7 linked regions of the Canis lupus familiaris genome follow. The protein of the gene in region 1 interacts with the protein of each later gene in a biochemical or structural test. Links are inferred from orthologs where the notes say so. Each region holds a gene or a part of one and is shown in the gene's direction. Other genes may lie near its edges.

Region 1 (4,138 bases):
TTTTCACTATTGTTTTTACATTCTGAGTCCATTGAATTATCTTTGTGAATTTTCTAATCAGTTTGTCAATTTCTGTGAAGAAGCCTTCTGGTATTTTGATAGGGATTGTCTTGAATCTCTAGAATAATTTGGAAGATGTTGCCATTTAACAATATTGTCTTCCAGTCCAGAAACTTGAAATGTCTTCATTCATTATCTTCATAGATCTTTCATAGATCTATTATCTTCATAGTTCTTTCTCAACAGTGTTTTGGAGTTTTCAGGGTATATTTTATACTTTTGGTAAATTTATCCTTATTCTTTTTGAAGCCATTGAAAATGAAATTGTCTTTTTTTTTTTTTTAAGATTTCATTTATTCATGAGAGACTTGCAGAGACAGCGATAAGCAGGCTCCCTGTGGGGAGCCTGACACATGACTCGATCCCCACCCCAGATCACAACCTGAGCCAAAGGCAGATGCTCAACCACTGAGCCACCCAAGCACCCCTGAAATTTTATCTTCTTAATTTCATTTTCTCTTTGTTCATTACTAGGTTATAGAAATACAGTTGTTTTTTGTATGTTCGTCTTGTATCCTACGGCCTTACTGAATTTGTGGTTTTTTTTAATAGATCCCTCCTTTTTTTTTTTTTTTTTTTTTTTTAGAGATTTTATTTATTTATTCATAAGAGACACAGAAAGAGAGAGAGTGAGTCAGAGACACAGGCAGAGGGAGAAGCAGGCTCCATGCAGAGAGCCCGATGTGGGACTTGATCCCGGGACTCCAGGATCATGCCCTGGGCTAAAGGCAGGCACCAAACCGCTGAGCCACCCAGGGATCCCCTGAATTTGTTTTAATAATGTTTAGTGGATTCCTTAGGATTTTCCATATATAAGGTCATATCATCTTCAAGTTAAGATAGTTTTACTTCTTCCTTTCCAATCTGGATGTCTTGTTTCATCACCTTGTTTAATTACTCTGGCTAGAGTCTCCAGTATCATGTTAGTTAGAAGTGGCAAGAGTGGCCACTCTTGTCTTGTTCCTGATCTTGAGGAAAAGCTTTGTCTTTTTACCATTAAGTATAAACATCTGTTTTGGGTGCTTGGATGGCACAGTTAAGCATTCTACTATAGGGTTGAGCTCAGGTGATGATCTCAGGATCCTGGGATCAAGCCCCACGTCAGGCTCCACACTCAGCGCGGAGTGCTTACTTATAGTATCGCCACCTGCCCCTCACTCCTATCCTATCCTATCCTATCCTATCCTATCCTATCCTATCCTATCATCTCTCAAATCTTAAAAAGAAATCAAGTTTAAATAGTGTAACCTGTTAGTTGTGGAGTTTTGTTACGACCTTTTGATGTCAAGTGGAAAGCCGTACTAGCATTTTGTATTTGGGTGTGCTATACAGACTTGTGCCCCATGGTTAGAAAAGTGTGTGTCATAGCTTGAAGCTATTAATAGCTTATGCATTCTAGATAACACCTTTGTCTCATGTTTCAGCATGGCTGCCATCCGGAAGAAACTGGTGATTGTTGGTGATGGAGCCTGTGGTAAGACTTGTTTGCTCATCGTCTTTAGCAAGGACCAGTTCCCAGAGGTGTATGTACCCACAGTGTTTGAGAACTATGTGGCAGATATTGAAGTTGATGGAAAGCAGGTGAGTACACTTTTCGTAACAACTGGTTTCATTTTGTATCTTAGGCTGTTCATAGAGCCTGTAGAGAATTAGGTCTTTTTGTTTCTTCAGTATACAGTTTAATGATTACAGACGTGTTTGAATGAGAAATCCATTCTATTCTTGCCATCTTAACTTTATTAATTTTTAACTGCTATCATCTAGACTTTGCTAACGTTCCTACCTATTTTATATAGGGAAGCCCTAGTATATGTGCTCTTAACAGTTTTATATTTGAAATTTAGTTTGTTGCTAGATGGATAATACTAAAATGAACCTTTTTGTATGGGTGGGATTTTTTTTCCAGTTTTTTTCCTAATATTTCATTCAGCACTAAAATACGGGATTACTAGGTCAACAACAGGTCATTTTATGGGTCTCAAAGGGCTATACTGATCTACTCCACCAGCAATGTGACAGTTAAATAACATCCTCATATTTAATTTGTGTAAATGGTTTTTGACTTTAACATAAATAGGCTGCCACCTTTGCTTCAATTACCTGTCACTGGCAATGAGGATGGTGTTTCTTCATGTCTGTCCTGAAAATCCACTGGCAAGACTAGAGGAAAACTCTTCTGGAATTAGAGTTTATAGGTTTTTTATGTTCTGCTTTTTGTTGTGAAAATGTCTTATCCAGCTTCCTGTACATATTTTGAAGATGCATGAAATTCCCACTGCAGGTGGGTCAGCTGAAAAAGAAAACTAGAACAATGGGCTCTTCTCCAATAACTCAGTCCTCTCGGGCATTTGTTCATGTGTCTCATGCTGCTAGCACCTAATATATTGGCCCCCATAATTCCATGTCCTTTCATCCTTCTCATTTTTCTGCTTTACCTTACTATCCCTTTCTGTTCTAGTGCCTCAGTTTGTGGCACTGTGTTTGGAAAGCACATTAAGCCAGCTATTCAGAATTCTAGGGTCCCTGAAATAAAAATGCTTGGTAGTAAGTAAGTAACCTCCAAGTTGAGAGAGGGTACTGCCTCAGAATGTTCATTTAAGAGTATACAGTAACAGAGCCTAGGAAACCGTCAAAGATTCTAGGTGATTGTGTCCCAGGAACATACCTACCAAAAATGGAAAAGCCCATTCTAACAAGAGATAGGCCCAATACCCTGAACCATTCATTTATCAGCATATAGGGTTGGATGTGTCTCACTGAATACACATGAGGCATGAAGGGGCCAGGGCAGCGTGATTTGGCAGAGAGTAAATGTTCCAGTCTGTTGTGAGGATTGGGTATCAAAGTATTAGAAATACACATATCAAACTGATGGGGGGGTGTGTGTGTGTGTGTATGATAGAAGTGCAGGTGGGCCTCGTGGAGGTTGTGAGTGATGCATCCTAGGGCAGAGTTTGAGGGTGGAAGAGATAATTAGCCATCAACTTTAAGGAAAAGATGTTACTTAGAAACTTTGAAATATGGGCTGTGAAAGTTCTAGGAGGAAAAAAAAAAAAAAAGGGTATTCCAAATACTAGGAGAGCTTTGAGCACCATGGGGTCGCTAAGCAGAAGATGTTAAAATCCCATTCTGGTTGTGAGAAATCACAGGGCTGGCTGCAGTGCTGGAGAACATGGAGGGGGACCTCTGTCCAGAGCCCAGGCATTAGCTTGCCCTCCTACCACAGGAAGGTGAGCAGGTTTCCAGGTGTGAAGGGAGTACTTTACTATCTTAGTGATGCTTTCATTCACATTTTTTTGAGCAGAAAAGGCAGGTCCAGAGACCTTTCTTGTCCACTGAGACCTTGCCTAACACCTAGCCTGGTGTCTTTTCTTACCCACCAATTCAAATACCATTTTTTAAAATTTTTTATTTATTTATGATAGTCACACACAGAGAGAGGCAGAGACACAGGCAGAGGGAGAAGCAGGCTCCATGCACCGGGAGCCCGACGTGGGATTCAATCCCGGGTCTCCAGGATTGCGCCCTGGGCCAAAGGCAGGCGCCAAACCGCTGCGCCACCCAGGGATCCCACCATTTTTAAAAAAATATTTTATTTATTTATTAGCAGAAGAACAGAGGGAAACAGAGAAGGAGGAGCAGACTCCCCATTGAGCAGGGAGCCCAATGTGGGGCTCTATCCCAGGACCTGGGACCATGACCTGAGCCAAAGGCAGATGCTTAGCTGACTGAGTTACCCAGGTTCCCCTCAAATAATCTTGTATCCATGTTTGCACATTGGGGCAAAATGATGAGAAAAACATAAGGAAAGGGTTATATTAGAATATATAGGGGAAAGTTACTCACGTCTAGTGTTTCTCTGTCATGTTTTGTATACTTGGTAGAATGTTGTTTATAGTTGATTTTCCTTGTTCATCTGCTTTTCTGTGTATAATGTTTATAATTAAATACTGTGCTTTTTACAAGATAAGTAATTTTTGACTCGATATTTTGAATTATGTACTTTATATACTGCTAGTATTTTGAGAAATTTCAACCTAAAATAATTTAAACACACCCTCTGCCTCAGGTTTGTTTT
Region 2 (4,759 bases), on another chromosome or scaffold:
GCATCTACCTTCTGCTCAGGTCATGATCCCAGGGTCCTGGGATCAAGCCCCCTATTCAGCAGGGAGCCTGCTTCTCCCTTTCCCTCTCCTGCCCACCCTGCTTGTGCTATCTCTCTCTCTCTCTTTTTTTCTCTCTCTCTGTCAAATAACTAAAATCTTTTTTTAAAAAGCTGTACTTGGTAAAGAAGCAGCAGTCACTCAAACTGTAGGAGAAGGGGTTATGTTTGGTCATTTTTGTGTTTGGGCAATGTTGGTTTTGTGTTCAGAAATAATTATGAAATGGTCTTTCTCTCAATCTGTCAGAGTGCCATGGCCTAGCTGATAGTGCCAGGCCTGCTCCTAGCATTACCAAGGTTTCCACAGGGAGAGTGTAAACTAGCTCCCAGCTGTCCTGGGCTGCCTTTTTTTTTTTTTTTTTTTTTTAAATCAGTTGCACTTGAAAAATCAGAATTGGCAACCTCTTTTGGTAAAACATGAGCTCTCTGGGTCACCACAGGCTCCATTACTCCCCAATACCTTGTAATGCCCCACCCCACTCATGTACACTCCTAACTGTTCCCTGGCATTGAAATCTGCACCCCACACTAAGCAAAATAGGAACCAAGCCCAGAGAAAAGTGACTTGGCTAGGATCACCCAATGAACTTGTGGGAGAGTGGAAATTGTTTACATTTTCCCTCCAGCAAACCCCCATGCTAGACATTAAGATCCTTTGTTAAATCTCTGAAGTATCAGCCTCTCAACGGAACGTAGATCCAGTCAGATAAACACTTCTCAGTACATTTTCCTGTCAATAACATGTCCCTGACTTATTCTTTCTTTTTTTCGGGATTGGGCGTCTCGAGACCTTAGCTGGGATTCTAAAACCTTTGCTTGGCCGCTGCAGCCATCCCTGACATTCATTCTGCTCAATACCACAGGCGTGTTTCTGCCTGGAGTCTGTGTGTGTGCACTTCCCTCTGCCTGGAGTTCTCCCTCACACCTTAGTGTGGCCTCGTCTTCTCAGCTTCGGCTCTGCATCACTTCCTCAGGCACGCACTTCCTGACGACCTTACCTACTACACACACCCTGCATGTCCTAGCACTACTGTCACCTCTCTAAGGAGGCCACCTCACTTTGGCCTCTTGTACAAGTCTCCCTTGGTGCTTTGTTCGAAGCTCTCCGCAGTCTGTCAAAAGCGCGGGGATGGGAGGCGGAAACCTTGCCTTTCACGCCCGCGAAGCGCTCTGAGGGCAGAGACTCAACCACCGCGAGGCGACCTCGCTTTCCACAGCAGGCATGTGGCGGAGCCCGTCCTCCAACCACTGTCCAAGACCCGCGCGAGTACCTCACGTCGCGCGGGATCCCACCCCGCCGGAGGCTGCGCGCTACCTCTCCACGGGGGCCCTAGGTCACCACGCATGCTCCGCACCGCCGGCGCGCGAGGTCAGGGGCGGGACCTTGGCGCGCCTGCGCACCTGCTCAGCCTCGGCTTCCGGGCGGCGTCGGCGTGATGGGGCTGAGGGCTGCGGCGGAGTAGCCGCGGCGTGTGGTCGTGTGGACCTCGCTGTCTGTTCCGACGGCTCGGGTCTCGGGGTCTTTGGGAGCCGCCGGAGGGTGCGGAGAGAGCCTAGGATCGCGCCGTCCGCCGCCAGTCCCCGGCATGTCGGCCGAGGCTTCGGGCCCGGCGGCGGCCGAGGCCCCGTCCCTGGAAGCCCCCAAGCCCTCGGGTCTCGAGCCTGGCTCCGCCGCCTACGGTCTCAAGCCGCTGACCCCGAACAGCAAGTACGTGAAGCTGAATGTGGGCGGCTCGCTGCACTACACCACGCTGCGCACCCTCACGGGACAGGACACCATGCTCAAAGCCATGTTCAGCGGCCGCGCGGAGGTGCTCACTGACGCGGGAGGTACGCCGCGCCGCACTTACCTGTGTGGTCCTCCATCCTCCAGATCCCCGTCTGCCTTCCCTCGCCCAGTCTCCTCATATCCCCTCTCTCGCGTCTCTACCGTGCAGTCAACTCATTTCACCTCCCTCCAGCCCCCCCATCCAGTCTCATCGCCCCTTCCTCATTCATAATTCCCCTCCTATCTCAGTCCTTTATCCCTAGCAATAACCAACATTTAAGGGAACATCACATGCCCGCTTCCAACACGCGCTGTGGTAAGTAATTCAACACGTCACTTCCGAATTTTTATTACCAGTCCCCTCCAATTCTCCCACCCTTTACTCCTCAGCTCAGACGACTTGGGAACCAGTCCTGCTACCAGCAGCACCCTTCCAGGCAACCTTCATGTTCCTTCCAACTGCCCAGCCTTATGTTTGCCTCTCTACCTCAGCACTGCTAACAACCGGCCTGGAGGAGTTGTCTGTCTCTGTATTCCTCCAACACAGGTCCCCGTACGCTCTAGGGATCCATTTGTAAATGCAGACTGTAGAAAAAGGCTGTTTTGGGGGTTTGCCATGGACACCAGAGAGAAGGGTGGACAGTTCTCTTTGGCAGGTGAACCTTACCTTCTTGGAGTGTTGCCTTCAGGGTTGGAACCCACATGCCCAGGTGGAACTGTAGTTTTTGTGAGGGTGGGGGAAGGTATTGAGAGGGGTATAACAATGATAGTAAAGAGCAGGAAAATTAAAATTTGGGCGATGGAGTTCAATCTTAAAATATCTGAGGTTGAAGGATTTGATTATTCAACAAGTATTTGTAAAGTGCCAGTTAGTGCCAGAGATACTTTGGTAAATGAATCAGACAAGATTAGTCTTATAGACTTCACTTTTTTGTGGGGGCAGGAGGAAAATAATAAGCAAATACACATATGAAAAATACGTGTGAAGTTCTATGAATAATATAAAGGTTGAAATGGTAGTGAACTGGGGGGTGGGGTAGATATTTTAATTAAGGCAGTCAGAACTAATGCCAAAGGTTAGAGTTTGTTGGTAAGGTAATCATTTTCATTGCAATCATTTTCTCATGGTGAGAACTTTTTCAATTCAGAACAGACCTGGAAAGGAATTCATTCTCTGTGTCTACGAATGTTAAAAAGGGGTCTATGGGAAAACTCACTGGAGATGTTTTAAAGGGATTTTCTTGGATGTGGCAAAGGTTTGAGACAGATCAGTATTCAGACCTGTAGCTTTGGAATCTGTTTTTCATAAAAATTTAGTAGCTCCAGAGCCCCCTGCAAAGCCATCCTTCCTCTTGCCTGTCTCCACTCCACCAGGTTGGGTGCTGATTGACCGGAGCGGCCGCCACTTTGGTACAATCCTCAACTACCTGCGGGATGGGTCCGTGCCACTGCCTGATAATACCAGAGAACTGGGGGAGCTACTAGGCGAAGCACGCTACTACCTGGTACAGGGTCTGATTGAGGACTGCCAGCTAGCATTGCAGGTGAGGGGCCCTGGGTCCCACCTTATACCCATGTCTCTGGGAGAGCTGTCTAAGCACTTAGATACTAGCACATTAAAAAATAGAGGGGAGGTATCTGGGGTATTGTTTGGAGAGGCTCCCTATGGCCTGGCTGTGACTAGCCATAACTACAGAAAATTTGGTTGGAGGTGCTTTCCTGTGTATTCCTGCTACCTCAGGAAGGACCTCCCTCACCACCTCGTGCCAGGACTATTACAGTAGTTTTTTTGTTTAAGATTTTATTTATTTTTTCATGAGAGACACAAAGAGAGGCAGAGACATAGGCAGAGAGAGAAGCAGGCCCCATGCAGGGAGCCTGATGTGGGACTCGATCCTCTGATTTCCAGGATCATGCCCTGGGCCAAAGGCAGACGCTCAACCGCTGAGCTACCCAGGGGTCCCTGTTACAGTAGTTAAATGACTGTTCTCTCCTTGCTGTTCCTACCTGGCTAATCCGGCAATCACACTACCACCTGAGTGATGATCCTTAAACAGTCTAGTCTCCCCTTTGCTCCTAAATCTTAAATAACTCCCTGTGCCACTAGGAAAAAAAAATCCAATTTTAAATTAGAATATAATGATCTCTGTGATTTGGTCCTGTCCTGGGAGGCAGTATTCCACCCCCAGCCAGGTTTTTGTTGTTGTTGTTTTTAACTTCTTTTTTAGCAATGAAATCCTAGAATCAGAGCTGCTCCCCAAAAGACAGATTGGGGGTTCCACGCCCCAACTTCTGGGCTTCTCTTCTATGGATCTCAGGGTTCTGAAGAGAGCTTAGAAAGCACAGCCAGGACCTGTGGGTTAAGTGTCACCTCTACCACAGCTGACTGAGTGACCTTGATTAAGTCAGTTCCTACCTCTGGCATTCTGTTCTCATGTTCCAAAAGATAGGAAAACAAGAAAAATATGTACACTGTAGTGAGTTTTACATAAAGCCTTTTATTTTGTTCTATTTTTACATTGTTAAAAATGTACCTTCTTTTATGATACAATATTACTAGGAGATTATAAGAGTTTCTTTTTTAGTGCCCTTTATATATTAAAAAGTGGCGACTATAAACAGTTTTCTGTTATCTTGGTGAATACATATCGGTTCTTGAAATTCAAAAGTATAGGGCAGCCTGGGTGGCTCAGCGGTTTAGCGCCGCCTTCAGCCCAGGGCATGATCCTGGAGACCCAGGATCAAGTCCCACGTCGGGCTCACTGCATGGAGCCTGCTTCTCCCTCTGCCTGTGTCTCTGCCTCTCTCTCTCTGTTTCTCATGAATGAATAAATAAATAAAATCTTTAAAAAAAAATAAAAAAACAAAAGTATAGAGTTCTTTTGGGCAATATCCATGTTTTTCAAACTGCAACCTATAGGGGAAAAAATGCATT
Region 3 (4,138 bases), on another chromosome or scaffold:
GGGCGGCAATGTTGCACACGGCTGGGTGGCTGGGTCTCCTCTCATGGTTGCGCTGGCTCCAGCCGGAGCGGGAGCCCAGAGACTTGCCCCGCCAGGCGCAGGGAGGGACCGCCAGCACCCGGGAGCCGGGAGCCCCTCGACTGCTCTCGCGGCAGTTGGGAGCTGATGTCACTAGCGCCCAGAGCGCCACGGGCGGGGACACTTGCAACTCCCGGACCCAGCGCGCCGCCAGCGTTGGTACCTCAAGAGCAATGGACAGGGCTAGGGAAGGATCTGTGAGTGCTGGGGCCCGGACAGAGACTAGCCAGGAGGGGGCTTAGGCACGCTTCTGTCCCCACCCTCCCCACCTTCTCTCCTCTGTGGTGTTTGTGGCAGAAACTGGATGCAGAACGGGATGGGGGTTGGCAAGCAGGAAAGCTTAGCAAAGGTGGAATCCTGATGTAGACAGACATAGAGTGGCTGGGGGGGGGGGGCAGTTTGCTGTGGGAGCTATGTAGTCTGGGAGGGCTTCCTAGAGGAGGGGGCATTGGGACCTGGGTGGCCTATTTTTGAAGGGTTAGGAAGGGAAACTGTGGGAGAGGGGTAATGAAAGCCAGTCCTAGCCCAGTGGTGGCCCAGGAAATAAATTGTGAATGGAGAATGTGCAGGGAGGCTGGAAAAAGCTTTTGAAGCAGGAATATGGGATGTTCAGATCTTGGAGACTTGAAGGCTGGAGTCACCAGGAACAGAAGCAAGTGCACAGTGTGAGAGCTGGTGTGAAGGAGAAGACGGGTTTTGGGTGATCACATTCACTCCCCTCTTCCAGCTTGGTGCCATCACTTGGCTTCCTCTCAGATTAATCTTATACTGTAATGCAGCTTGTCTTCCACCCTCTTTCTGAAGCCTTCCCCATCATGTTAGCCAGGAGCAGAAAGGTCTGTCTCCTGGAGTGTGTTTATGCCATGACATGGCACTTATGGTACAGCCATTGATGTCTGCATCTCTCACTTCCCAGTTGGATTTTAAATGTGGACCCTTGAGCAGCACAGAGGTGCTCCAGAGTTTGTTGGGTGAATGCTATTTTCTGCCAAAGTGGCATCATTTAAAAAGCATTCTCACCATTCATGTATACTGTGTGCTGGGCATTATGCTAGGTGCTTTACATTCCTGACTTAATGAATCCTCACAACCCTGGGATGTGGGGGCTATTTCCAACTGCATTTTATAGATGATGAAACCAAGTCTTAGGAAGGTTGAGCTCATTTTAAATCAGTTCTTTCCAGCTTCTCAAGACTGACAGGACTAACTCAGACCCAGGTTTGTCTTATGTCAAACTGGTGCTCTTCCCCTCCACTGTCTGCCAAGACCTCCAGGGCTCTTTCTGAGTAAATGTTCCTCAGAATCCTGGTGCCTCTCTCAGTGCCTAAACCACCGCCCCATCCTTATGCACAGCCTATTTAGCCCCTCACTCCTGACCTGCTTTACCTGCCTTCCCATCCCTAATCCTTGCCACTGTCCTCAACCTCCCAAGATCAGAGAGCCAGTAGGTGGCGGATCCCCTAATTTGGAGTGTGTACAGGGTTCTGAGAAGCATGGGTGAATGCTATAGGTGGTATGCTCCTTCTCCATAGATCTCTTGCCAACTAGATGTCCCCGCCCCCCCCCCCCCCGCCCCCCCCCGCCATCACATGAGTCTTTGGAGTAACCTAGGATGGTCTTTACTATCTTGTTCATTTTCTTTAGTTGGTAGTTCTCAGCCCTGCCTACACCTCAGAAGCACTTGGGGAATTTTCAAAAAACCACCCACGTTCCACTCTTAGAGATTCTTACTCTGCAAGTCTGAAGTAGAGCCTGGTAATGTGTGTGTGTGTCTGTGTGTGTTTAACTGAAAGGATTTAATATTTTAAAAAGGTAACACAAGAGGTGCCTGAGTGGCTCAGTTGGTTAAGTGTCTGACTCTTGATTCTGCCTCAGGTCATGCTCTCAGGGTTGTAAGATTAAATTTACATTTTACAGATTAAGATTAAGCTCCACATCAGTCCTGTTGGGCATGAGTCTGCTTGAGATTCTCTCTCCCCTTCTTCCTCATAAAACAAAACAAAATCACAATTTCCAATTGTACAGTAGTAAAGAAGGATATATATTTTTTTAAAAAGTAACATAAATCTATTTTCCATTCCTGGCACCCAGGCCCATATATATATATCACTTGATTTTCTGACCGACCTAGTATCCTATATATATATATATATATATATATATATATATATATATATATATAAAGTAAGAAAAGAGAGTAGAACAGTATTACAGCATGCTACCATTTGTACACTATATATATATATTTTTTTTTTTTTTTTCTGAGAGAGAGTAAGTATGCATGCATGTTCAAGCATGAGCAGGGGGAGGGGCAAAGGGAGAAGGATAATCCTAAGCAGACTCCTTGGTGAGTGCAGAGCCTGATTCGGGGCTCGGTCTCAGAACCCTGAGATCATGACCTGAGCCAGAATCGAGATTTGGATGCTTAACTGAATGAAACACCCAGGCACCCCTCATTTCATATATTTTGAAGATTATTTCATATCTGCATATATATGTCTACCTCACTCTTTAATGTTTGCAATATTCCATATTCCATGGAAATGCTGGAACTTATTTAACCAATGCTTGAGTGAACTTTTAATGTTGGTGTTTTAAAACAAAGTTGCAATGAATATGGCTTTGCTCACATGTTTAACTGTCTTTGTGGGATAAACTCCTAGATATTGAATAGCTGGACCAGAGGATATGTGAATTTCTAGTTTTCATAGATTTTTCCAAATTGTGCTCAAAAGAGGCTGAAGGAATTTAAGCTCTTACCATCAACTGCACGAGGACAAAGCTTCTCTGGTTATTGGGCAGCTGAGGTTGAGTTGCCTGAAATAGAAGTTTCTTGTCAGTTTCTCCTGGGCCACAGCCCACTGGGGACTGGAGGGTGCTTCAGCCTGTCCCCAACTGACATTTCCTTCTTATCCTTTTCCCCACTCTGTCTAGGACACAGAGTTGCAGAGAAAGCTAGACCATGAGATCCGGATGAGGGAAGGGGCCTGCAAGCTGCTGGCGGCCTGCTCCCAGCGAGAACAGGCCCTAGAGGCCACCAAGAGCCTGCTGGTGTGCAATAGCCGCATCCTTAGCTACATGGGCGAGCTGCAGCGGCGGAAAGAGGCACAGGTGCTGGAGAAGACAGGCCGGCGGTGAGCAAGGGGGACACAAGGCCTTATGGCGGGTAGTGGTGCAGTGTGTATATGTTCTTTGTATGGGTCACCCTGAAGGTCAATTCCCCATGAAGCCCTGTCAAATGCCTGGGAGACCCATTGGCATTTTATTACCACAGTGTGCTGCCCACAGGTGCACTAGTGAGTAGCTAGGACTGGACTCAGGAGAGCCAGGGTATCTGGTGAAAGGCTGTGAGGCTGAGGGGTTATAATATAAAAGTGCTAATTTGCTACACTCAGCCTGTGATCTGATGAGGCTGCCTGCCTGGCTTCTGGAAAGCTCATCTTCTCAAAGTCAGTTCACCAGATGGCCAATTTACCACCAACTGACAATAGTGTACCTGAGGCTCACTTCACACATGAGCAGTGCTTGAGGGAGGAAATAATTAAAAATATTTAAGGGAAAAAAATATTTAAGGGAATGCCTACCCATTCACATAAATTAGATAATGTATTTTAAAAGGGGTCAGCTTCTGGATATGAAACACCAGCTACACTGACATTAGATGCTGCCAATCTGACAGCTGCAGGGAAATGGTTGAGGTGATGCTCTGGTGAAACTAAAATGTTGGAGAGAATGAATACCAGGCAAGTTGATCATTCTGAGAATTGGCCACTTTTGGTAAACTGGTCATTTCGAAAACTGGCTTCTGGCAAAACAAGCCTGCTTGGCCCCACAAAGCTGGATGGAAAGAAGGTCCTAGCTACTCACTGGTATGATCCCCTCCCACCTCAGCCATGAAGGCTGCCACCAGAAGTTGCCAGGAGCCCTCCAGAGCTCACTCATGAAGCCCCCAGGGGAAGGTAGATAAGCAACTCTGTGGCTTCCCTGTAAAGCAAATGGGCAGGCAGACAAGGGGCAGTTCCTAATGTGAATTTGCTGTCTCCCAAGAGGCAGCCATCAT
Region 4 (4,138 bases), on another chromosome or scaffold:
TGGAGCCTGATCTCATGACCTATGAGATTAGGACCTGGGCAGAAACCAAGAGCTGCACCCCAAACTGACTGAGCCCCCCAGGCAGCCTAGACTCTAGACTAAACTCTTAATGCTAGGTGCTCACAAGGTGTACTGTTGCTCAAGTAGAGATTCGTAATAGTCACCAAATCTGAATCTATTTGATTGTGTGAAATCCCTGCCCAATGTTTACAGGCTCTATGTGAACTGGAGATTTTTACGAGGCATTGAGGCGCAATTCCTGGCTCTGCAGAAAGGATTTAATGAAGTAATTCCACAGCATCTGCTGAAGACATTTGATGAGAAGGAGTTAGAGGTCAGTATGTTAATGTCATGACATCATTTAGTGTCACAGGGAAGGTTGGGAATTTTCTGTTAACTGCGTTTTAGAGGAAAGTCATATTGCTGGTGCTTTTGAAGTTTTATGGTACAGTGCTTAAGAATTCTTATTCACAGGAAAGGTCTTTCCTGCTTTGGAAAAGCTTTTTATTTATGCTTTGGATTTTCTACAAGTAAGCCATCTCTCTCATATTGTGAACACTCTTATTTTTCCATATTTTCTTTTCTTATTTTCAATAGATTTCATGTCTTAGGTGTACATTCTTCTATATGTACATGTTTTCTATTCCCTAATTAAGTGGTTATTTTTTTTTTCCTAATTCAGTGGTCATTGATATAATTAAATGCCATCACTTTGTCTCCACCATATTGAAATTTTTTGAATGAAAAGCTTAGGTTCAATTGGATTTACACTAAGCTTTGCAAGACAGCATTTGATAAACAAGATCATAGAGAAATAATTAAAACATTTAGGATAAAGTGTATCTAAACATCTTTCTTCTCTTTGGAAATATTCGTTACCAATAGCAGTAATAAACAGTTAACCATTTTTTTGTTTTCTTTTAAAGCTGGTTGTTAAAACACCTTTAGTCTGGTTTTATAATTAAGACTTTTAAACAAATACATCTGAACTACTTTGAAAAAATAATGAGGTTTTATAATTAAGACTTTTAAACAAATACATCTGAACTGGTTTTATAATTAAGACTTTTATACAAATACATCTGAACTACTTTGAAAAAATAATGAGGTTTTTATTCTACTGAAGGCCCCAAATTTAATTCGTGGCTAGGAGTAGCATAAATATTTGAAATCTACAAATAAATGTAAAAATTGATTAAAATTCATTAACCTCGGTGTCCTTTCTTTTTTTAAAAAAATATTTATTGGGGCACCTGGGTGGCCTCAGTTGGTTAAGCATCTGCTTTCTACTCAGGTCATAATCTCCACATTCTGGGATCAAGCCTGCATTAGGCTCCCTGCTCAACAGGGAATCTGCTTCTGGCTCCCCCACCCTGCCGCCGTTGTGTACTCTCTCTCAAATGAATAAATTTTTTTAAAAAATTAAATTTTTAAAAATTTATTTAAGTAGTTTCTACACCCAGCATGGGCCTTGAACTCACAACCCCAAGATTGAGAGTCACAGGACTTCTGACTGAGCCAGCCAGATTCCCCTTCAGTGTCCTTTCTAATTAAATCTATTAATAGACCTGTTAGGGGATCTAAATAGATTGGCTTGACTCCCTAACCCCATTCCTTTTGTGTTTGAACTATTCAGTAGTGAAATGGCCAGTGGAAGTGGCCAGGAATGGCAGTAATGGTTGAAATGAGTGAGAAATTTCACCTTACAATTACCACTCCTCTGGAGAAAAGAACTGAGGAGGTATCTTTTGTGTTATAAATACTTCCATAATCCTATTTGGATACCTACCTCCCTGTTGAGCCTAGCTGTGATTCAGTAATCTTTCCAGAACTCTATTGAAGCTTTGGTGAAGATTTTATGCAATATGATTAGGGTTTATTATGTAGTTTCTATTGGTAATGAAATTAATTTTTTATGAAAATACATAATTTATTTTAGTGTTATATGGGATTAATAGAACTAATTCCAAAATGTGGGATTCGCAGTTATGTTTGCAGTTATGTTATGCTTTAATACTACACACTGTTATAATTCACTGTTATAAATACTTAGATGAATTAGTCTTGGACCCTAAAGACATATATTAATAGTATCCAAGTGATTTTGATATGGCTCATCTATGCTGACCTTGCATCAGGATGTCCAGCAGAGCTCTCTCTCAGAGCAGTTCTGTATTTTGTATTTTGCTGTAACTTAAAGATTATCAAATGGATTGTTCTTGCTTATCCAGCACCCATTTCTTGAGTTCCTGAGCAGTATGGTTCTTGCACAGGGTATATAGTAAAGTAGGTGTTAACACAGTATTACAGCAGTGGAAACTGCTGGCCAAGGCGGATGGACTCAATTGCCCAAATCCTAAAGCTCGTAAGTGTTGAAACCCAGTATGATATACCAGTATATACATGATATGATATACCAGATATACCAGTATGATACAGGTATTAAGGAAGGCACTGTATTTACTCTGAGTCTATTTTCTGTCCATTAAACATAATTTAGAATTCTATGAAAATACGAGACTTTCATCCTGTCATGTTCTCCACACTGGTGGTTCTCAGACTCTGGATAGGGAACCTGCAGGAAGTAGATACCACCCATGGATCCTTTTAAATACAGATCCCTAATATCACCCCAGACCCACAGAATCAGAAGTCTGAACATAGGACCTGATGGTGTGTATGTTTTGAAAAGCTTTCTAGATGATTCTGATTTGTATCTTTGATTAAGAACCATCATATGAGAGCCACCACTACAAATCTAAAGTTCTGTTTGAGGGATTTGGGGCTTAACTTTGGATTTCCATTGGCTCATTATTTGTGCAATATTTTAACAGCTCATTATTTGTGGACTTGGAAAGATAGATGTTAACGACTGGAAGGTAAACACCCGATTAAAACACTGCACACCAGACAGCAATGTCGTCAAGTGGTTCTGGAAGGCTGTGGAGTTTTTTGATGAAGAGCGAAGAGCACGGTTACTTCAGTTTGTGACAGGATCATCTAGAGTGCCTCTGCAGGGCTTCAAAGCTTTACAAGGTAGAAAAGCCAGAGGAACGCGACATGGCATCAGAGCACTGGTGGAGGGCGTCAATGTTTGGTTTATATAGTTTACAAACCACAGGCTTCTAAGCAGATTCTCTTCATTCTCTTCCATATCTGACTCTCCTTATCTTGATACCTTCTTCTCCTTCCTCTCCTTTGTTCCCCTCCCAAGAACCTTTTCCCTGGGGCCTCTGTGCCTGTAGTGAGTGCTGTACGTTAGAGACCGTAGGCAGTGGTCTCTGCCTTTTCTTTTCTGGTCACCTGGCTTTTAACCTGTGTGGCGCATTCCAGTAGGGAAAGCCTGTCTGCTTCCACTTCCACACCTCAACCTGGCAGAGCCAAAACCCACTTGGGACGCCTCTTCCCTCTACTTTTGTATTCTTTTCTTGGAGGCAGCCTGCATTGTGGAAGCCATTTGTTTGGTCATTATTGCACAGTGTCAGACCATTTATTTCCAAACATACTCCATTTTTAAGACTTATTTTCTGCGGCATAGCTATTTAATTTGGGGGCGAGTTGGCAATATCTCTAAGGATTGTGGCGCTTCGCTGGGTGGCACTTGCTTCCTTTCCCTCTGAAGCTCTTCATTTGCAAGGCTGCTGCCACCAGTCACATCTGAAGACCTACACAGCCAGACAGGACAGCGTTGCCCGCAGCACACGTGTTGGAAGTCCACAGACAGGGAAGGCATCCTTGGAGTTGTGCTTAATTCCTTACTTGGAGAACTTGTTAGCAGACTACCCAGAAGCGTAAAGTGAAGCTATATTTCTACATACACTTTTATGGGGTGTCTTATGTTAACTGGAATTTATTCCATGGACTGCTAATCTTTTGCTCTCGGCCAGGTTTGAGGCATGAAATCTAAATTTGCATTTAGGTTGTCATCTTTTTGAATGTGTGTATATATATATTTGATCTTGAATTTATCCATTTACTTTTCTTCTCATACATTTGGCACATTGATTTTTTAATAGAAGAAGTTGGCAAAGGATTCCAATCCTGGGCCTTTTCTCAAATTGATATGCTAGCATATTAAGGAATCCAGTGTTTATCCAAGGTCAATTTCATTTTTCAAGACCCAGATTCTTTTTCTCCT
Region 5 (4,138 bases), on another chromosome or scaffold:
GTAGCAATATCATAAAATAGTGTAACAGTCTACTCTTGAAGGACTCTGCCTGAGAGAGTTAAAAAGCCTATTCATACTAAGGAAAAAATGAAATTATCTTTGTTTAAGTATCTGAAAAGAATCCTGTTCTAAGTACGTATATATATACTTTATGGGATTGTGGAGATATTTTTAGTTGACATGTTTGCTTTTTAGAAATGTGAGTGTTAATGAGGATTTTTCCCCACCAAAAACAAAAACAAAACAAAACCCTTTTGCTGTGGTATATCCAAAGTTCTATTTAAGGTGGTTAATTCTATCTTAGAAACCATATGTGAGATCAGTGATAAAGCAAAAAGAAATGAAATCTTGCCCAAAGTCACAACAAGAGTCAGTGTTGGACTATAGTAATAAAATCTAAGAGTTCTGAGTCCTTCATTCTCCACCTGATGACATCAGATGTTTTTATTATTCAACATTTGGTTCGGGAGTTCCCTCTGTAGGCCCAGAGACAGTTTCTGGGAAGAAAATGAGAAGTAACATTTTCACCCTGTTACAGTGCATCACTACTGTACTAAGTAGGTGGCTTTCACGGTGTTGTGTATTGTGTATCCTGTACATTCATACTTTGATGTTGTTATCCGTTTTTACTAGGTGATTCCAAGCTGTTTCGACCCAGAAGACCCAGATCTAGCAGTGATGCACTGAGCGCCTCTTTTAACGGAGAAATGCTGGGGAACCGCTGTAATTCCTATGATAATCTGCCCCATGACAATGAGAGTGAGGAGGAAGTAGGGCTGCTCCATATTCCAGCTCTTATGTCTCCCCACACAGCTGAGGATGTTGACTTGAGCCCGCCAGACATTGGCGTCGCCAGCCTGGATTTTGATCCCATGTCATTTCAGTGCAGCCCCCCTAAGCCTGAATCAGAGTGTCTGGAGAGTGGGGCTTCCTTTTTTGACTCCTTAGGATACTCCCAGGAGAAACCGAGCACCAACAAAAAGGATACAGAAGCAGGTGGTAGCCAGTCTCAGACTCCAGGAAGCACTGCAAGTTCTGAAGCTGTCTCTCCTCTTCAGGAGAAACTGAGTCCATTCTTTACCTTAGACTTGAGTCCAACCGAAGAAAAATCATCCAAGCCATCCTCATTCACTGAAAAGGTCGTCTATGCTTTCTCTCCAAAGATTGGACGGAAGTTAAGCAAATCACCTTCTATGAATATATCTGAGCCAATTTCAGTTACTCTTCCCACTCGGGTATCGGAAGTCATGGGGACAGTGTCAAATACAGCAACTCCAAATGCATCTTCTCCAACCTGGAACAAAAGTGCTGAAGACAGTGATGTCATAAACAGATCCCCCACCCAGGTAGTAAAGATGAAAACAAGTGAGAAAGAGGCCCAAGAAGGATGTGAGTCTGAAGCCCAGCCCCTAGACCAGGGGGCTGCTGCAGAAGTAGAATCGCCAGGGAAAGAGGAGCAGGTCGTCTCGAGCAGTCAGAGTAAGGCTGTACCTTCTGGACAGACTCAGACAGGTACCATTTGTTTTCCTCCATTCTTTCCTTAAGCTAAGAGGGATCTTCAATTCTATGTGCCATCTGTGCCTTTTAAGAGAGAAATTTACTCCACAGCTAGCCTTTTATCAAAGAGAATGTTTTTCTGGGTGGTGCTGTGATGGCTCAAAGCCCTAAGTTAAAATCAAAGAAAAATCCCCCAAAGGGCCAGTGGTCCTGCTTCAGACCTTCATAAAGTCCCCTTTTGTCTTTCAACAGTCAGAATTCATGGATAATTTTTGCACAACTTCGTAGCTCTTGATTCTGTTTTCTAATAAAAGTACCTGTATTCTAGCCTTACGAGTAAACCAGCCAGCCTACTCCATCAAATGTAAAAACTATCCTTAATAATCTGCAGGCACTTGAAGCTTGTTATCTAAGCAGTCTTTTCTGAGCCAGATGAGGGACCTGCTTCCCCCCATCTCTGTAGCAATTCAAGAGGAGATTGCAATCTTTAAACACTTTGTTTTAGTTTTCCTTCTGAACCAGATGTGTTTTCTCCAGCATTTGCATGTGGGATAGAAGATCATGGATTGCCATTTTGAAATATGGAAGGCACCTGTTTTTTTAGTGATCACATGGGGCGCGTTTGGCTTTCCGTATAGGATAACACAAGCTACCTTTTCACTCTCATTTTTTTTCCCAATTTCCCACCAGGAGCAGTTTCCCATGACCCCCCTCAGGAGTCCGTTCCTGTCAGTTCAGTCTCTCTTATCCCACCACCACCGCCTCCGAAAAACGTTGCCCGCCTGTTGGCGCTGGCATTAGCTGAGTCTGCGCAGCAAGCCTCAACTCAGTCACTGAAGAGACCAGGGACTTCTCAGGCTGCTTATACAAACTATGGAGACCTAGCAGTAGCTGCACCGGAAGATCACCTGCCTAGCTCCTACTCTAGCGTTACTCTAGATAAAGCCTATTTCCAAACTGATAGGCCAGCAGAGGAGTTCCACCTCCAGAGCAGTGTATCGGGGAACTGTGACCAGCCCACGCCAGAGACAGCCACCATTGGGAGCCACACTCATGCCAGTGCGACTGAATCTGGGGAACAGCTGCACCAGGTTGACTTCCCAGGGAATCATCCACATCGGACCTATTTATCTGGGGACCCAGAAAAGGCCAGAATCACTTCAGTTCCCTTAACAGACTCCAAGTCTGATGATCACCTAAGTTTCCCTGAAGCCCAATCTGGGAAGACCAGTATGCCAACTGTCTCCTTTCTGGATCAGGACCAGTCTCAGCTTCATTTCTACAGCGGAGATCAGCCTCCTTCTTACCTTGGTGCATGCGTGGATAAGCCCCATCACCCGTCAGAACTTGCAGACAAATCTCCCACACCTTCTGGTTTGCCTCGGGACAAAATCTACCCTCCTTCTGGGTCCCCCGAAGAGAAGGCCAGCACGGCCACCGTGGCTTACATGACAACTGCTCCAGCAACAGCTGAAATCGGCACCAGGGAGGCCAACTGGGATGCGGTGGTTGAACAAGGCCCCACCACCGAGTTCGCTGCTGCCACCCTCCAGCGCGCTCCGAGAACTAACCGTCCCCTTCCTCCGCCTCCTTCCCAGAGGCCAGCGGAGCAGCTGCCGGGCCTGGGGCAGGTACAAGCAGCAGCCAGCGTAGGACTGAGTAATTCCCACAAGGTAAGGAGGGGAGGGGGTCAGGGAGATGAAATAGACTTTTTTCCGAAGGTATGTCACTTTTCAGCAGGGTGTGCTGTCACTTTTGAGTCACACAGGCCATTTCTGTTGAGTCCTGAGGCAGGTTTCCGTGAAACATTTCCTGTCTGAGGTTGGACCCTGCCTTTACCTTGATGCCAGTTTTTCTCTGAGAGAGGAGCAGTTACTCAGGGACTCTAGGTTAACTATACCTGCTGCTTCCTAAAGCATCTAGGTAGTTTATTCACAGCGATGCAGAGATCATGATCAAGTCAATCAGATTTTATTCACAGCGATGCAGAGATCATGATCAAGTCAATCAGATTGGGCTTCAGGTGTCAGGGCTGCAGGTCGCCCCACCCCCCTCCGTCACTGACTCATCGTGGCTTTAGGCAGGTCATTTAACCCACCCTGCGCCAGTGATTCACATCTGCGCAATGAATGTGCTTTGTTCTTGAGAATAAAGCCTTTTTCCTTGTAGACTTTTTTTTTTTAAAGACTTTATTTATTTATTCATGAGAGACAGAGAGAGAGAGAGAGAGAGAGAGAGGCAGAGACACAGGCAGAGGGAAAAGCAGGCTCCATGTAGGGAGCCCGATGTGGGGCTCGATCCCTGGTCTCCAGGATTACGCCCTGGTCCGAAGGCAGACGCAAAACCACTGAGCCACCCAGGGATCTCCTTGTAGACTTTTTAGAAATGTAAGAGATGACAGTGTCTTAGGTCTTTTTTGTCATTTTCTTAACATAAACCAGCAGGTTGTTCTGTAGTCAAGCATCTGCTTAGAGGAGAGAATATTGTATGTAGAATGCTGAGAATGTCTTTCTGACTTTCTCATGCTTTAGAAAAGTGCCCCACATGCTTTGTGGTCACCTCGAACTGAAGAGACTTCAGTATGTCGGCTTTAGTGGAGGATGATGCTATTTCTAGCAACTGCTTCTCAAGGATAGCATAT
Region 6 (4,138 bases), on another chromosome or scaffold:
CATCCTCCTTCCTTTTAAATGGCTACTGATCTCCACTGTAATGGTAGGCCATGATATTCAGCTTCTACGGTGGTGGTTTCCAGTTTTTTTTTTTCCATCATCAAAAGTGCTCCTGTCTTGTCCCACCATTTCCTGTGCCTCTGTCAGACTATTTGCTTGCAAGTAGAGTTGCTAAACAGCAGGTTATACACACACTAAGAGTTACTGGGGTGTACTGCCAAGTTGCCCAACCAAAGGGCATTACCAGCCTTTATTACTTTGAGAAGAGAGTGAGAGCATCTGTCTCTCCCCATCCTCATTTTCACAAGGTATCATTAAAAAAAAAAAAATTGTTAATGCCGTTAAAGATTGTGAGGCTGGAGGTTAGTGTCTTGAACCCAGCACAGCACTTCTCAGGCAGAAAAGGTTCAGGCAGGGGGTGTATTTAGAGCCCTCACAGATGGATTTGGGGGAAGCAAATCACATATAGGAGAATGCCTTTAACGTATGGGCAATGGCAGTGACTGGGAGGTTCTCTCTGTCAGTTTTAATGTGTAGACTCCAGAGACAGCTTCAGCCATCAGCACTGACACTTTAAAGAGGAGTTGACACTGGTAGTAGGGGAAACATGGTCGCACATGGAAAGGAAGCCCCACACTGCCTTCCCTTACTCCTCTTCCTGGTGATTCCAAGCAAAGGCCCAGCGTTTTGACTCTGTTATAAAAATGATTCTGGCTTTTTTAAATTATTATTATTGGAGTTCAATTTGCCAACATATAGCACAACACCCAGTGCTCATCCCATCAAGTGCCCCCTCAGTGCCCATCACCCAGTCACCCCCACCCCCCCACCCCCCGCCCACCCCCAACAGGAAGGAAATTCTGACATACACTAAAACATAGATGAACCTTGAAGACATTATTCTATATGAACTAAGCCAATCACAGGAAGGCAAATATTGTATGGTTCTATTTATATATATAAGTCCAAGTCAGAGACAGAGTAGAATGGTGTTTCTAGGGGTTGCAGGAAGGACAGAATGGGGAGTTATTGTTCAATGGGTATAGAGGTTTGCAAAACAAAGGGTTCTGGAGATAGTGGTGATGATCAAACGATATGAATGTACTTTATGCCACTGTACTGTACATTTAAAAATGGTTAATATGGTAAATTTTATGTGTATTTTACCACACATAAAAGAAGTAGGTTACTAAAAAAAGTAGTCTCAAAATTTTTTGGAATGTTTCTACTTAGAAGATCTACAAAAACAGGTCAGTCTGGGATCATTTAAAAAGAATTCTGTTTGAAAGCAGGAGGATAATATCTTCTAAAAATATCTTTCAAATCAAGAACTGACAAAGTATGCATATCCCTATATCCATATGCTTGCCATTTTAATTCAATGGCTGCCAAAATATCAATATACCTATTAAAAATTTTGTCAGAGATAGATGTTGGTTAAACATTTTTTGAGTTTTTTTGTTTTTAAAATAATATCAGGTGTAATGGAATTCTTTAAAGTGGAAAAAAGAATCAGCTTATGTCGAGCTGACTTACTGAACTATATGGCCAAATTACTAGCTAAATGGCAGCTGCCCCAAAATGTGGTATGGGGTGGTGCTGGTGGAGAGGCTTAAAAAGTAACTGAAAGTCTTCCTCTTCTAAATACTGAGAGTGAAATTAGAACTTTGGTGTATACATAGCACATTTTGGTATTTGAATTCTAGAGAATGCTATTCAGGGGAGAATGGCTAAAATTGACAACTGAGGAAACAACAGTTGTTGGCGAGGATGCGGATAAAGGGGAACCCTCTTACACTGTTGGTGGGAATGCAAACTGGTGCAGCCACTCTGGAAAACAGTATGGGGGTTTCTCAAGAAGTTAAAAATAGAGCTACCCTGAGATCCAGCAATTGCACTACGAGGTATTTATCCAAAGGATACAAAAATACAAAAATAGTGATTTGAAAGGGCACATGCACCCCAATGTTTATAGCAGCAATGTCCACAATAGCCAAAATATGGAAAGAGCCTAAATGTCCACCAACTGATGAATAGATACAGAAGAAGTGGTGTGTGTGATGTATGTGTGTGTGTGTGTGTATATATATATATATATATATATATATATATATATGAATATGACTCAGCCATCACAAAGAATGAAATCTTGCCATTTGCAACAACATGGATGGAACTAGAGTATATTATCCTAAGTGAAATAAGTCAGTCAGAGAAAGACAAGTACCATGTGATTTCACTCATATGTGGAATTTAAGAAACAAAAACAGATGAACACAGGGAAGGAAAAATAAAGTCAGATAAAGACAGGGAGGCAAAAAAAGAAAAAAAAAACAGGGACGCAAACAGTAAGAGGCTCTTATCCATAGGAAACAAACTGAGGGTTGCTGGAGGGGAGGGGGTGGGGGGACGGGCTAACTGGATGATGGGCTCTAAGGAGGGCACGTGATGTAATGAGCACTGGGTGTTATATACAAGTAGCGAATTACTAAATTCTACCCTTGAAACTAATACTACACTAAATGTTAACTAACTTGAATTTAAATGAAGTCTTGAAAGAGGACCAAAGCAGAACAGGGAGGGAGGGAGGGAAGAAAGGAAGGAAGGAAGGAAGGAAGGAAGGAAGGAAGGAAGGAAGGAAGGAAGGAAGGAAGGAAGGAAGGAAAGGAAGGAAAGGAAGGAAGGAAGGAAGGAAGGAAGAAAGAAAAAAGAAAGAAAAAGAAAATGCTATTCAAGGGAGAAGACAGATCTGTTTTATTACAAAATGAAGGACACTTTAAAAAGTGCATCACCTGTGGGTGTTTCTTTTCCCTCCCAAGGTGATGAGGCACCCAGATCATGTGTCATCCAGCGTGTATCTGTGGGCTCATCATGAGAAAATTGTGGTCATCGACCAGTCAGTGGCCTTTGTGGGTGGGATCGACCTGGCCTATGGAAGGTGGGATGATAACGAACACAGACTCACGGACGTGGGCAGTGTGAAGCGTGTCACCGGAGGACCGTCGTCTCTGGGTTCTTTCACAGTAAGTGGATTTCACCTCTATGGAACTGCATAGAAGGGACATGATTTGCATACCTATGCGTTAATAGCGGGACTGACTGGTTGGTCGAATGAGGGGTGGCGTATCCCTGTATGAGCAGACCTGTTTTCAAACACCACCTGGCAAGTCTGTAACATCGCATCTCTTATTCTCAGTTTCTTCTCTTGTAAGAGAAAAGAGATCCAATAGCGTGTTTGATAGCTCAGAGCAGCTCCTTTGTTTTCCATTTAAAGAAAAGGCTCATTTCTCGTGTGGAAAAAAGGTTCATAAACAAAAATATGTGTCGATTGGGCTTTACGTTAAACAAGCAGACTTATTCCAAGCACCTGCTGAGCCTTTTGAAATCTTCCTACTTAAAGACGTGCAAAAATAGGGCAGGAGTCATGGAGGGGCTTCTTTTGAATGCAGGAAGTTAATAACTTCTCGAAGTACCTTTCACATCAGGAGCTGCCAAGACACCCATACGCCCGTATCCACACGCAGTGCTGACTTGTTTCAACCCTAACGGTGGCCAACATATCAATACACTTATTACAATTTTGATGGGCTCATCTCTTTTTACTGCTGGATATGTGACCTTTCTGGAAAGAAAGAGTTGGTGAATAAGTAGCTGGGAAAATAATTAACAGAAAAAGCATTTATCAGAGGCAGAAGTTCGGTAGCTCAACGGTGACTATAACTCACGTAATTGTGTTTGGAATAAAAAGGTTAGTAGGGATGAAATTTCAAGAATTTGGCCTACTGAAGGAGGAGCTACAATGGAACGCCTGGTATCCCTGTGCTAGCCCTGACCCGGCTCCTAGGAATCCTCCACTGCCCTGTGGCTGACCTCACCCAGTATTGTGTGTCGGTTAGAGGGCCTCTGTCATGTGTGAACTTTACACTTCAGCTCAGCTGGAATTAAAGGATCGCATTGCAGCATACCTTACGCAGTGTCTTTTTTTTTTTTTTTTTAAAATAATTTTCTCAGGCTGAAACAACGGAGTCCATGGAATCCCTAAGCCTGAAAAATGAAAAGGAATCTAGTAAAAATGTGCCCACCTCGAAGAGTGTTGATGATATGGATTCAAAGCTGAAAGGAATAGGAAAGTCCAGAA
Region 7 (4,138 bases), on another chromosome or scaffold:
TCCACTCTGCTCATGCTCTCTCTCTCAAATAAATAAAAATAAAATCTTTTTAAAAAATAAAAACAATATGTGAGAGGCAGCAGTTGTGGTGAACAGCTCTAGAATTATGCTTGTAGGTCGTTGTGATTTGGGGGCAGTTTATAAACCTCTGTGGCATAGTAGAAAGAGAAGGCAAACTGGCTTGGAAACAAGGAAGCTTGGAGGTTTTTGTTTGCTATTTTTGTTTTGTTTTTAAATTTTTTTTAGGTTTAATTGTGGCAAAAAAACCCCACATAACATGAAATTTATCATCTTAACCATTCAAAAGAAATTTTTTTTTGAGAGAGAATGAAAGTGAAAGGGAGCTGGAGCAAGGGGCAGAGGGAGAGAGAGAATATCTCAAGCAGGCTCCAACACTGATCTCACAACCCTGAGATCATGACCTGAGTTAAAACCAAGAGTTGGACGTGTAATGGACTGAGCCACTCAGGCATCCCCCATCTTAACCATTTTAAAGTGTACATTTCAGTAGTGTCAACTATAGTCATATTGTTGTGCAATAGATTGCCAGAACTTTTTCATTTTGCAAATCTGAAACTATACCTATTTTAAAAATGTAACTCCCTGGGACTCCTGGGTGGCTCAGTGGTTGAGTGTCTGCCTTTGGCTCAGGTCGTGATCCAGGGGTCCTGAGATCAAGTCCCACATTGGGCTCCTTGCAGAGAGCCTGTTTCTCCCTTGGCCTGTGTCTCTACCTCTCTCTCTCTCTGTGTCTCATGAATAAATAAATAAAATCTTTTTTTTTTTTAAAGAAGGAAGCTAAAGAGAAAGGGACTTGGGTTCAACTGAAGTGCCAGCCTGCCCACCCAGAGGAGCACACTTTGTGAGAACCAAAGGAAAGGAGCCTGAGCTCCTGGAACCCAGTCCTTAAGAATTCATGGCAGGGTAAATGTAAAAAAACAAAAACCAAACAATGAAAATTCCCTACTTTAACTCTGGGTTTCCCTCCAGCCAGGCAGGCTGGGCACTTCATCATTATGGGCTTTAGATTTTCTTATTTTACTTCCACAGATATTTTCTGACCACCTACTGCTTCAGGCACTGCGTCGGGAAGCAAGTGGGGGACCAGGGTGGAGGGGGGGATGCCAGTAGTTGATAGAATGGAGGCAAGGCTGCTGAGATCACCTTTGACTCGGAGACCCCTTCGTGTATGTAAAGCAGCCAGGTAGACGATGACTCATGACGTTTCCAAAGCTGAGATGGTAGGAAACCCATGAGTTTTCATTTGTCTCCCGTGTTCCTCTTTGGATATATGCAGTTCTGTTCTCAATCTGTACCTACCAGGAGAAGCCAACCTCATCCACACTCTGAGCAGGCCAGTTAATTTTCTTTTTCTGTTACCAGGAATACGTGGCGTCACTGCTCTAGCTAATGACTGTAACTGTAAGCTTTCTTACAGCCTGCACAAGTATGACATCAAATCATATTTTTGGCATTCTCTCTGCCTCGCTAAACCAATTTGCTTCTCAATCGCTTTCTTGTTTCCCCTCCTCTCTCTGAACAGATATCATACGGTTCTTATTTTACTTCTTTCTCACAATTAGGATCTGTTAGCAAAGGCCCGGTTTGTGATATTACACGGACACAGACTTGCTGCAAATCACCATTACGCACTTGATTTGATCTGCCAGAGGTGCAATGAGCTACGTTACCTTTCTGATATTTTGGTTAATGAGATCAAAGCCAAAAGGATACAGCTCAGCAGGATCTTCAAAATGCATAAGCTGCTGCAGCAGGTAGTGTCATGAGACCTGGTACATTTCTGAATAGGAAGATAATTTTTTTTAAGGTTATAGGATAAAGGTCTGCCTGGGATAGCTTTGGAATTAAATTTGTAAGACGTTGAAGCATTGACTTTGATGATGTTTATTTAGTCCGGGTACCTTTGCAGTATCCATGGCAAGTCTAGTATTATAAGCATTCTGGCTTCTTTTCTGAATATTGAGATCACAGTTGTGATGGCTTCCTTTCTATTTTGGGCACATCCCTGAATCCTCTCCTCTGGTGATAGTTTGCAGTCAGAGCACCTTTCAAAGCCCTAGAGGCATTTTGCTAAAGCCAGAACTCCTTCCACATTTCATAGTTACCGCAATAAGAAATTAAACAGTGACTGGAAGATACTCCTCCATGGCTTGTAGATCTGGCCCCTTTCAGAATTAGGCAGCGAAGGGGAGATCTGGCCTTGGAAGTGGAATGTAAAATGAGGATATCATTTATAGACATTGTATCTGAACATGAACATTTTAATCAGTTCATCTCCTTCTTTGGCAAGGAAACTTTTATCCTTGTCCTTGGCAATCACTATGCATTTATATTACACTTTGTGTTTTGCGAGGCGTTTTCATATTTCACTTATTGATTTTTGGAAAATAGCATGCAGCTGAAGTGTTAGTGTTGCGAGTACGGTCAGACTCTTTACTGCAGAATGAATTCCTTGTTATGAAATAAATACAGTGCTTCCCAACCTTGGCTGTGCATCAGAAATACCTGTGGAGCTCTGCAGAAATCTAAATGCCTGGCTTAAGGCCCAGAGCTACTGAATCAGAATTTCTGGGGGCAGAACCCAGATATCTTTATTTTTAACAACTCTGAAAACAACTCTGATTCACAGAAGCCAGGGCTGGTAAACACTCCTAAAAGGACAAACATATTTCTATTTATTCATTCATGGTTTTGTGTATGTGTGTGTGTGATTTGCTCATCAGGCTCGTCAGTGCTGTGATGAAGGAGAATGCCTTCTAGCTAATCAGGAAATAGATAAGTTTCAGTCTAAAGAAGATGCTCAGAAAGCCCTCCGAGACATTGAAAATTTTCTTGAAATGGCTTTGCCATTTATAAATTATGATCCTGATACCCTACAGTATGAATTTGATGTAATTTTATCTCCTGAACTCAAGGTAAGAGGCTGTTTTTTTTTCAAATGAATATATTTTTAAAACTGTAATTCCAGTAGTGTTGGCAAGAGTATTACTACTTCACAGCTAACTTTATGTCAAATTGCAGTTACATGCTTCTCTTAAGGATGAGGGGTGATATTAGTACCCCTGTGAAGCATCCAAGAATCCAAAGGCTTGGAGCGCCTGGCTGCTTCGGTTGGTAGAGCATGTGCCTCTTGATGTCAAGGTTACTGGTTTAAGCCCCACATTGGGTGTAGATTACTTAAAAATGACTAAATGGATAGACTTTTAAAAAAAAGCATCCCAAGGCTTTTTTCCCCCCCAAGGCTTTATGCTTGCTACATAATGAAGAATAAGTTCTTTTTGAGCTGTGACTCCATTATTTTTCAACTCTTTTCAACATACTAGGAGATCTCACATACATTGTTTTGCGCATCCTTAGAGAAAGGGCTAAAGCTATTCTAGGAGAATACTGGGCCTGTGTCAAGAGCGTTCTACTCCAAATGTCTTGTCTTCCTGCTGCAGTTACAACCAACAGATGCTGTGTGGACACAGATCTGGCTTTCCTACTCAGTTTGAGAATGAAGGGATAAAGAAATGATTTCAGGCTTCTTGGGGGAGGGGTGCAAGCAGACATTGGTATTAACAAGGTAGAGAGATCTGTGGGTCAGTTCAGATCCACCGTGTTGGAGGTGTCATGAAGCACTCTCCCCACATTGTAGTTAAGAGCTTTTGTGATGCTATTTATTGCCAAAATGTGTAGTTGACTCTTAAGTTTGGAACAGCATCTAAAACCATGCTTAGCTGCAGATCTTAGGGGATGCCCCAGAAAATCAGAAACGTGGCCAGAGCAATAACTAAGTGATTTCTCTGGAAGCAACCAAGCTAATCTCTAACTGCCTCAAATCATCTAGGAGGGTCTAGGAGGAGCTTTTTACGACACGGAAAGATAGAGTGTCCTGCAGGCTAACATGTAACAAACATCTGTAATGGGGCTTAACTGGTGGCTTTCTTGTGCTAAACATGCCTTCTTTTCCAGCCGTTATGCCTTCCAGCCATGCAGGGTAAATAAAGCACTTTACACAGTGACCTATTTCATGACTACTTGAGAAATTTCTTCAAGCTGTTTAGGTTGAGATCTTCTGGGTTTATGACTGTGGGAAGATAGCACATTAATCTGTTTTCTGTTGCTTTCCTAATGT

The links.
Region 2: of the proteins of RHOA (region 1) and KCTD13, one has a biochemical effect on the other in vitro, tested with the Homo sapiens proteins (2 studies listed by BioGRID, with this or other methods). The link is inferred for Canis lupus familiaris from reciprocal best matches to the Homo sapiens genes RHOA and KCTD13.
Region 3: the proteins of RHOA (region 1) and RTKN form a complex in vitro, tested with the Homo sapiens proteins (8 studies listed by BioGRID). The link is inferred for Canis lupus familiaris from reciprocal best matches to the Homo sapiens genes RHOA and RTKN.
Region 4: of the proteins of RHOA (region 1) and SMURF2, one has a biochemical effect on the other in vitro, tested with the Homo sapiens proteins (3 studies listed by BioGRID, with this or other methods). The link is inferred for Canis lupus familiaris from reciprocal best matches to the Homo sapiens genes RHOA and SMURF2.
Region 5: of the proteins of RHOA (region 1) and ARHGAP32, one has a biochemical effect on the other in vitro, tested with the Homo sapiens proteins (3 studies listed by BioGRID). The link is inferred for Canis lupus familiaris from reciprocal best matches to the Homo sapiens genes RHOA and ARHGAP32.
Region 6: the proteins of RHOA (region 1) and PLD1 form a complex in vitro, tested with the Homo sapiens proteins (2 studies listed by BioGRID, with this or other methods). The link is inferred for Canis lupus familiaris from reciprocal best matches to the Homo sapiens genes RHOA and PLD1.
Region 7: the proteins of RHOA (region 1) and MCF2 form a complex in vitro, tested with the Homo sapiens proteins (2 studies listed by BioGRID). The link is inferred for Canis lupus familiaris from reciprocal best matches to the Homo sapiens genes RHOA and MCF2.

Annotation. Positions count from the first base shown.
Region 1 is NC_049241.1:40,283,248-40,287,385, forward strand, and holds part of RHOA (transforming protein RhoA), read left to right. Parts: intron 1-1,484; 5' UTR 1,485-1,485; coding exon 1,486-1,641; intron 1,642-4,138. UniProt on the Homo sapiens protein: Small GTPase which cycles between an active GTP-bound and an inactive GDP-bound state.
Region 2 is NC_049227.1:18,120,272-18,125,030, reverse strand, and holds the start of KCTD13 (BTB/POZ domain-containing adapter for CUL3-mediated RhoA degradation protein 1), read left to right. Parts: upstream 1-1,456; 5' UTR 1,457-1,642; coding exon 1,643-1,886; intron 1,887-3,198; coding exon 3,199-3,368; intron 3,369-4,759. UniProt on the Homo sapiens protein: Substrate-specific adapter of a BCR (BTB-CUL3-RBX1) E3 ubiquitin-protein ligase complex required for synaptic transmission.
Region 3 is NC_049238.1:49,191,574-49,195,711, forward strand, and holds part of RTKN (rhotekin), read left to right. Parts: intron 1-150; exon of another isoform or gene 151-251; coding exon of another isoform or gene 252-275; intron 276-3,012; coding exon 3,013-3,212; intron 3,213-4,138. UniProt on the Homo sapiens protein: Mediates Rho signaling to activate NF-kappa-B and may confer increased resistance to apoptosis to cells in gastric tumorigenesis. May play a novel role in the organization of septin structures.
Region 4 is NC_049230.1:14,568,887-14,573,024, forward strand, and holds part of SMURF2 (E3 ubiquitin-protein ligase SMURF2), read left to right. Parts: intron 1-213; coding exon 214-334; intron 335-2,834; coding exon 2,835-3,036; intron 3,037-4,138. UniProt on the Homo sapiens protein: E3 ubiquitin-protein ligase which accepts ubiquitin from an E2 ubiquitin-conjugating enzyme in the form of a thioester and then directly transfers the ubiquitin to targeted substrates.
Region 5 is NC_049226.1:5,710,972-5,715,109, forward strand, and holds part of ARHGAP32 (rho GTPase-activating protein 32), read left to right. Parts: intron 1-633; coding exon 634-1,512; intron 1,513-2,187; coding exon 2,188-3,170; intron 3,171-4,138. UniProt on the Homo sapiens protein: GTPase-activating protein (GAP) promoting GTP hydrolysis on RHOA, CDC42 and RAC1 small GTPases. May be involved in the differentiation of neuronal cells during the formation of neurite extensions.
Region 6 is NC_049255.1:36,237,812-36,241,949, reverse strand, and holds part of PLD1 (phospholipase D1), read left to right. Parts: intron 1-2,819; coding exon 2,820-3,023; intron 3,024-4,011; coding exon 4,012-4,138. UniProt on the Homo sapiens protein: Function as phospholipase selective for phosphatidylcholine. Implicated as a critical step in numerous cellular pathways, including signal transduction, membrane trafficking, and the regulation of mitosis.
Region 7 is NC_049260.1:110,573,287-110,577,424, reverse strand, and holds part of MCF2 (proto-oncogene DBL), read left to right. Parts: intron 1-1,583; coding exon 1,584-1,775; intron 1,776-2,744; coding exon 2,745-2,936; intron 2,937-4,138. UniProt on the Homo sapiens protein: Guanine nucleotide exchange factor (GEF) that modulates the Rho family of GTPases. Promotes the conversion of some member of the Rho family GTPase from the GDP-bound to the GTP-bound form. Isoform 1 exhibits no activity toward RHOA, RAC1 or CDC42.